2 linked regions of the Macaca mulatta genome follow. The protein of the gene in region 1 binds, or shares a complex with, the protein of each later gene. Links are inferred from orthologs where the notes say so. Each region holds a gene or a part of one and is shown on either strand. Other genes may lie near its edges.

Region 1 (3,904 bases):
TGCTCCTTCCTGGGTTGTAGATTCCCATGTTATGAGTCTGTCTCCCCCACGACACTGTAACCCTCGAGAGGACACTGTAACCCTCGAGAGGACACTGTAACCCTCGAGAGGACACTGTAACCCTCCGTTGGGAGCTGGTTTGACAGATTCACCTTGCGGGGCCCCGAACCCAGGAGGTGCTCGAGTATTTCCGAAGTGGAGCAATGAATGGTTGCGCCGTGAGCATGCGCAGTTGTGTTACTGCCATGACTGGGGCGTGTGTGCATGCCTGGAACGGGGTAGGGGATCCTGCATCTCCCTACTGTTCTCTGCAGCCTCCTTCCCTTCCCCCCAGGAAGCCAGCCAGCCGCCCCCGCGACGTTACCCTTCTCCTGGGGCCTCAGAGCCCTGCCCATCTCGGGCAGCTTGGACTTGCAGAGACCCATCCAGCCAGCAGGCCTTGGGGTGGTCGCTCCCCGACCCCGCCCAGGCTCTGACCCCTCCTGGCTCCGCACAACGTCACAAGGGTCCCCGCCCCGGTCATTTTGCGACAATGACGGGGTCCATTCCTTCGGGGGAGGAAATGAACCCCAAACAGGCCCATGGGGAGCCAAGCAGCGGTTCGACCCAACCGGAGTAGGCCTCGGTTGCTATGGTGACGCGGCCTTCTTGGCCCTCCCCAACCCCGGTCCAGAGCGATATGGCGCATGCGCAAAGTGCCTGGGGGCCCGCAAGGAGGACTCTTCTCCCTCTCCCCACCCAGGATGCCCCGCGGTCCTTGGGTGTGACGTCACGAGGGAGGGCGGCCCCCCATTTGATGAAGTTAACTGTGTTGTATAAAAGAGCGCCAGCGACAGAGGCCGGTTAGTTTATCTCAGACTCGGCCTGGGTTTGCTGAGTCTAAGAAGGGACCGTGGTGGCCCTTTTGAGGTGACCATAGCCGCCGAGGAGCATAAGTGACTGCGCATTGAGGCGGCCACAGTGGCTAAGAAGGTTGCCATCGCGACGCGGCCGCTGGAGGGTTTCGCTTCCGGGTTAAGCGGCCGCAGAAGCGTAGACGGAGTAGCTGCAGCGCCTCTTCCGGTTACCTTTTCCCAGTGCCGGAGGCGCCTGGGGTTGGGGTCTTCGCTCAGGGACAGAGACCCGACAGCGAGCGGCGGCTTGCCCGGGATCGAGGGACGCGCACGCCAGAGGAGACGAAAGGAACCCGGGTCGGACCAGATCGGAACCACTGACCATAGCCCATGGCGGCCCTAGTGAGTGTGGATTTGGCGGGGTTCCGGGGTCCCGACGGCGACCTCGGCAACTCCTCACTCACCGTCCGGTTCCTCTTTCCGCAGGGCCCTAGCAGCCAGAATGTCACTGAATACGTCGTTCGAGTTCCCAAGTAAGTGTCCAGCCCCATCTCCCCCTCCTCTCCACCCTCCAAAAATGAAAACCTTCACGGTCTTCTTAGCCAGGCGTTTCTGGCCCTGTCTGTGATTCTCCCTCCAGACTGGGAGAGACTTGGAGGGCAGGGCTGGGATTAAGCTGAGGCTTCCCTGGAGACAACCCTGCTTTTTTAAACGAATGAATGAATGAGTGCATTAATAACACGGCGATCCAGCCCCCTGGCCTAACCTTCGATCCCATGATGCTCAGGCCAGCTGTAAAGAACATATTCCTCGTCCTGTTTCAAAATGGTCGGGCTATCTTTCCTTTCTAGGCTTTTGTACATCCTGTTCCCTCTGCCATGAGTGCCTCCCCTCAACCCCTAAACTGTGACTCTGCTGGGTGAATTCTTGTTGATTCTACAAAGCTCAGCTCCAGTATCTTCCTCCTCCAGGAAGCCCTCCATGCCTGTCCTCCCTCCTCCCCAAGGCTGAGTTCACAATAATCTCCACATCTTGGGTTCCCTCAAATCTTTGTCCCTCCATCTGCTCTTCTTCTGCCTGGGGTCAAGAGGGGATGGGTCTAGCTTCTCTGGCAGACTGGGAATCCTTGGAGTCTTCTGTATCCAGTGTTGCCAGGCAAAACAGGCTGAATGAATCGAATCGGGGTGGGTTTGTTGAGTGATTGAATTGAATAAATGATTCAATTGAATGGAATGATTGAATTGAATTGATGGTTCAATTGGATTGAGCGATTGAATTAATGATTTGATTGAATTAATGATCCAGTTGGATGGCTGATTGAATTAATGGTTCAATCGCATTAATTCATTAAATTAATGATTGAACTGCTGTATTGGATTGACACCACCTCTTTCTAATCCACTCCAGGAATACAACCAAAAAATATAATATCATGGCTTTTAATGCAGCCGATAAAGTCAACTTTGCTACGTGGAATCAGGTAAGTCCCTGGGTCCTGGGGGTTGGGAGCTGGGGTGGTGGGAGAACATGACCCTGACCTTGGTGATTGTAATAGTTGCTTAACTGTCATAGTAACTAAGTCTTAATTTTCTCACTTTTCTCAAAATGAAGAAAAGATAGATGACAAAGGATTGGGTGCAGTAGTTCACACCCCTGATCTCAGCACTTTAGGAGGCCGAGGCAGGAAGCTTGCTTAAGGCTAGGAGTTCAAAACCAGCCTGGGCAATGTAATAGCAAGACCCCAACTCTACAAAAAAATTAAAAAATTAGCTGGGGCTGGTAGTGTGGGTCTGTAGGCCTACATAGGAGGCTGAGGTAGGAGGATCGCTGGAGCCCAGGGGTTCAAGGCTGCAGTGAGCTATGATTGCATCACTGCACTCCAGCCTGGATAATAGAGCAAGACCCTGTCTCAAAAAAAAAAAAAAAAAAAAAAAGTCCGGGTGCCATGGCTCAAGCCTGTAATCCCAGCACTTTGGGAGGTCGAGGCGGGTGGATCACGAGGTCCGGAGATCGAGACCATCTTGGCTAACATGGTGAAACCCCGTCTTTACTAAAAAAATACAAAAAAGTAGCCGGGCGAGGTGGCGGGCGCCTGTAGTCCCAGCTACTTGGGAGGCTGAGGCAGGAGAATGGCGTGAACCTGGGAGGCGGAGCTTGCAGTGAGCTGAGATCCGGCCACTGCACTCCAGCCTGGGGGACAGGGCGAGACTCCATCTCAAAAAAAAAAAAAAAAGAATGACAAAGGCCCAGGTCAAGCTCCTGGGTGTCCCTGTAAGTTAGGTTTGGTAGGCCCACCGGAGGCCTCTCCTTAAAGGAGAACATTCAGAAGTTGTGCCCACCGATGGGCATTTTTGACCAGGGTTTATCTGGGCAAGGGAGGGGACTGGGCTGGGGGCTTTCCCAGAGCCCCTGCCATCAGAGGCTCTAGAAAGGAGTTTGGGAGCCATTAAAGTGTTTTCAACTGGGAGGTTGTAGTGTGATCTGGCTGTTGTGGGGAGACAGACTGTGGGTTTGAGGGCAGTTAAAGGGAGACCGGGTAGAAGCAACTGGTCTGGTCTAGGTGAGTCCTGGTGGGCACTGGGGGCAGTGGAGGTTATGAGATGTGGCTGATTCTAGAGTGTTTTGGAAATGGTATATATGGACCTTAAATCAAGAGCTTAAGGGTAATTTGGATCATATTAGCCACATAGGTCACGATAAATGGTAACATTTGTAGAGATTTTGGTGCCTTAATGTCAGCAAATGTTGCACAATGAGATTCTTTTTATTTATTTTATTTATTTATTTTTTGTGATGGAGTCTCTTGTTGTCCAGGCTGGAGTGCAATGGCACGACCTGGGCTCACTGCAATCTCCACCTCCCAGGTTCAAGCCATTCTTCTGCCTCAGCCTCCCAAGTACAGGTGCCTGCCACCACGCCCAGCTAATTTTTGTCTTTTTATGAAGTTTCGCCATGTTGGTCAGGCTGGTCTTGATCTCCTGACCTCAAGTAATCCACCTGCCTCAGCCTCCCACCGTGCCCGGCCTTTTTATTTTTTAAAAATAGATATAGAGTCTCACTATGTTGCCTAG
Region 2 (3,904 bases), about 5.5 Mb from region 1:
TGACCTCATGATCCACCCATCTCGGCCTCCCAAAGTGCTGGGATTACAGGCTTGAGCCACCGCGCCTGGCCAGGATGGTCTTGATCTCCTGACCTCATGATCCGCCCATCTCGGCCTCCCAAAGTGCTGGGATTACAGGCTTGAGCCACCGCGCCTGGCCAATTTTTGTAGTTTTTAGTAGAGACAGGGTTTCACCATCTTGGCCAGGCTGGTCTCGAACTCCTGACCTCATGATCCACCCACCTTGGCCTCCCAAAGTGCTGGGATTACAGGCATGAGCCACTGCGCCTGTCCTATTTATTTATTTATTTATTGAGACGGAGTCTCGCTCTGCGGCCCAGGCTGGAGTGCAGTGGCCGGATCTCGGCTCACTGCAAGCTCCGCCTCCCGGGTTCACGCCATTCTCCTGCGTCAGCCTCCCGAGTAGCTGAGACTACGGGCACCTGGCCCAGCTAATTTTTTGTATTTTTAGTAGAGATGGGGTTTCACCGTGTTAGCCAGGATGGTCTCGATCTCCTGATCTCGTGATCTGCCCACCTCAGCCTCCCAAAGTGCTCGGATTACAGGCATGAGCCACTGCGCCCAGTAACGTTATTTTACTAAATCCTGTCTCTGAATGCAAGGGATACCTGGCCTGTTTTTATTCACCATCACTGTAGGTTGCTGAGTAAATGCTGAATTAATGAATGCATCACTGAGTCAGTGACTGATTGCCTTCACACAGCGAGTGCTGGGCTGGGATCCTCCGTGAATCTGGGGAGGTGAGGTTTGCAAAGACAGGACGGATCTGGGGTGGGGAGATACCCAGGCTAGGCTGGCACTCAGGGGAGAGGACAGAGGTGAAGGGACTTAAAAAGCACCTAGAGATATGCCTAGCTCTACCTAAGACTCTCAGTTAACCGCCTAAAGTAGGGACACTTTTTGCCATTGCACAGGTAGGGAAACTGAGGCCCAAGGGCATTAACCCTGACCTGGCCTGGAGCCAACAGAGGAAACCCTGTACAGTTTGATGCACAAATATTTAAAGAGTTCCCACTAGGCTCCCCGACCGTCCCTAGGAGCCGAGCTGCCCCTTGACCCATTCCAGGCCTCAGTTTCCCCGCCCACACTTCGCCCCCGCCTCATGGGATTCTAAACTGTCGCCGCAACGTGGGAGTTGAACGGAAACTACAACTCCCAAGAGGCCGTGCAGCCAAAGACACACGAGAACTACGGAGGGAGAGTCTCGCGCAGCAAACTGCCGTTCTCGCAAGGCTCGGGCTGCCCTTGGCGCTGCCGATCCCGGAAGTTGCTGCATTCAGGCGTTCGCCGACGACAGCCCATCGCGGGGCGGGGTTACGTGGAGGGGGCCTGATTGGGAGTCGGCGCAGGCGCAGTCCGCGCGGGTTCTCGCAGGCAAAACGGGTGCGAGTGGCGGCGATGGACGACGAGGAGGAGACGTACCGGCTCTGGAAAATCCGCAAGACCATCATGCAGGTGAGCCGCGCGTGGTGTTGGGGGCGGGGGCGCGAGCAGCAGGTGCAGGGGCCCGAGGCGAGGTCGAGCTCGGCGTCTCCTCGTACTCCCGTCGCAGCAGCAGCGACGGAGGGCCCGGCCGACACGGGAGGCCCCGAGGCCGCCGGGGATCCCAGGCGCTGGGCCCGACCTGAGCCGGCAGCGGGGAAGGGAGGGGGTTTCGAGACGTCTGGGTGCGGGGCTTAGCGGTGGGCGGGCGGCTTGGGCTGGTGCGGCGCACATGGCGGCGAGAGGAGGAAGGTGCGAATGGGGACGGGGGGCGCCCCCAGACCCTGCCCCTCTCTGTGATTCAGCGTCGCCATTTGTCCTTGCGTCCTGAACCCCAGGGCGTCTCAGCATCCGAGGCTGGCGGAGTTGGTGGTTGGGAAGCAGCAGGCGAGCTGGGGCTTTCGATGGGGACGTGGAGCCCGGAACCCGTGCCTCGGGGTCTGAGACAGATGGAGGCCACTGGGCCGACTCCGGTTTGGAAACTGGGCAAAGGTCTGAGGGCCTGCGGTTCAGGGTCCTCCCTCAGCCGTTGGGGCCGTTTGGGAGCTTTTGTTTTGTCTTGCTTCCCCACCCCCTATGCCCTTGTCTTTAGCGAAGCCCCCCGCAGCCTGATTCTCCTTCCTCCGGGCCGCAAACATTGTCAGCCTGAAGTCACATTTGTTTCGGTCCCTGTCTTTTTTTTTTTTTTTTTTTTTTTTTTTTTTTTAAGAGACAAGCTCTCACTCTGTCGCCCAGGCTGCAGCGCAGTGGTGCAGTCATAGCTCACTGCATCCTTGAACTCCTGGCCTCAAGCAGCCCTCCTGCCTCGGCCTCCCTGAGCTCTGGGGTCGTGGACGTGACCCCCCACGCCCCGTCTTTGTCCCTGTCTTTAGGGTAGCTCTGCAAAGTGGTTTGGAGGGCTTTGCCCCCTGCCAGGTTCCTGTGAGGCTGGATAGACGGACGGTCTTGGTCAAGGCTGGACACCTCTGCGAGCCTCTCGGGATCACGCTGGTCCCATCCTGTGGTGTGGGGCTGTGGGGGCCAGGATGGCTGTCATGGGGCACACAGCGAGTGTTCATTCCGTTTGCTGTTCACCTCTGTCCTCTGCAGCAGCCGCAGGTCTGACTTCTGGGTCACGAGCTCTGGCCGCCTTCCTGTCTCTGCCCTGGGGTCAGCTGGTTCTTTCTCTCTGCAGCTGTGCCACGACCGTGGCTACCTAGTGACCCAGGACGAGCTTGACCAGACACTGGAGGAGTTCAAAGCCCAATTTGGAGACAAGCCGAGTGAGGGGCGGCCGCGGCGCACTGACCTCACGGTGCTGGTGGCCCACAACGATGACCCCACCGACCAGATGTTTGTGTTCTTTCCAGGTGAGCAGCGGGTCCCGGGGGAGTTCTGGTGGAGCCGCCCGAGCACCTGCTGAGGAGCCGGCCGCTAGCACCCACCCCCTCCCGCCTCGTGCCCAGCGTTTGATCCTCTGCCCAATCTGGGAGGAAAACTTCCCCTCCTCTTCCTTGCTGTGGGCGATGCCGTGGACCTCTGACCCCTCTCATGCGCAGCCTCTTTCTGGTTTCCCTCTCATCGGTCCCCTTTCTTCCTGCCAACCAGGAGAGTCCCATGGACCTCCCTACTCACCCGCAGCCCCTCATGACCTTTGCCCTACCTGTGTTCCTTGGCTCCCCCATCCTGGCCGTTGGGTGCACTTCCAGCTTCTTGGCCTGGCCCAGGAGGCCCCGTGTGGGTCAGCGCAGCCTCCTTGTGAGCTGTGGCCCCTGTCTGCCCCAGCCCATTCCTCTGCACCCCATGCCGCCTCTGCCTTGTCAGCGTCCGCTACTCATCCCTCGAGGTTGTGCTCAGGCCGCTTTTCCCGGGACCCCTGGGACCCTCGGTTTCAGCACCTGGACCGTGGAAGTCTCCCCACCTGTCTGCCCCCCCCCAGGATGGCTCTAGCGCCCTCAGTGGTTGGGGGACTACCAGCGCCTAGGGACACAGCCGCGTGCCCAGAATTAATCAGTGGGGTGGACGGAGCGTGTCTGCCAACCGGGTGATGCTACTGCTTTTTTTTTTTTGAAAGTCTCATTCTGTCACCCAGGTGGTGCAGTGGTGCCATTTCGGCTCGCTGCAGCCTCCACCTCCTGAGTTCAAAATTCTCCTGCCTCAGCTTCCTGAGTAGCTGAGACTGCAGGCACCCACCACCATACCTGGCTATTTTTTTTTTTTTTTGTATTTTTGGTCGAGATGGGGTTTCACCATGTTGGCCAGGCTGCTTTCAAACTCCTGACTTCAGGTGATCTGCCTGCCTCGGCCTCCCAAAGTGCTGGGATTACAGGCGTGAGCCACTGCGCCCGGTCTTCTTTTTTTTTTGAGGCTGAGTCTCTCTCTCTGTCACCCAGGCTGGAGTGCAGTGGCGCAATCTCGGCTC

The links.
Region 2: GTF2F1 (region 1) and POLR2E share a complex: the UniProt entries of both Homo sapiens proteins name them as parts of the TBP-based Pol II pre-initiation complex. The link is inferred for Macaca mulatta from reciprocal best matches to the Homo sapiens genes GTF2F1 and POLR2E.

What each region holds. Positions count from the first base shown.
Region 1 is NC_133424.1:7,269,392-7,273,295, reverse strand, and holds the start of GTF2F1 (general transcription factor IIF subunit 1), read left to right. Parts: upstream 1-981; 5' UTR 982-1,223; coding exon 1,224-1,235; exon of another isoform or gene 1,236-1,300; intron 1,301-1,319; coding exon 1,320-1,366; intron 1,367-2,240; coding exon 2,241-2,313; intron 2,314-3,904. Other genes in the region: adenylate kinase isoenzyme 1, read right to left, coding at 365-548, 915-980. UniProt on the Homo sapiens protein: TFIIF is a general transcription initiation factor that binds to RNA polymerase II and helps to recruit it to the initiation complex in collaboration with TFIIB. It promotes transcription elongation.
Region 2 is NC_133424.1:1,753,143-1,757,046, reverse strand, and holds the start of POLR2E (DNA-directed RNA polymerases I, II, and III subunit RPABC1), read left to right. Parts: upstream 1-1,374; 5' UTR 1,375-1,419; coding exon 1,420-1,476; intron 1,477-2,677; coding exon 2,678-2,852; intron 2,853-3,904. UniProt on the Homo sapiens protein: DNA-dependent RNA polymerase catalyzes the transcription of DNA into RNA using the four ribonucleoside triphosphates as substrates.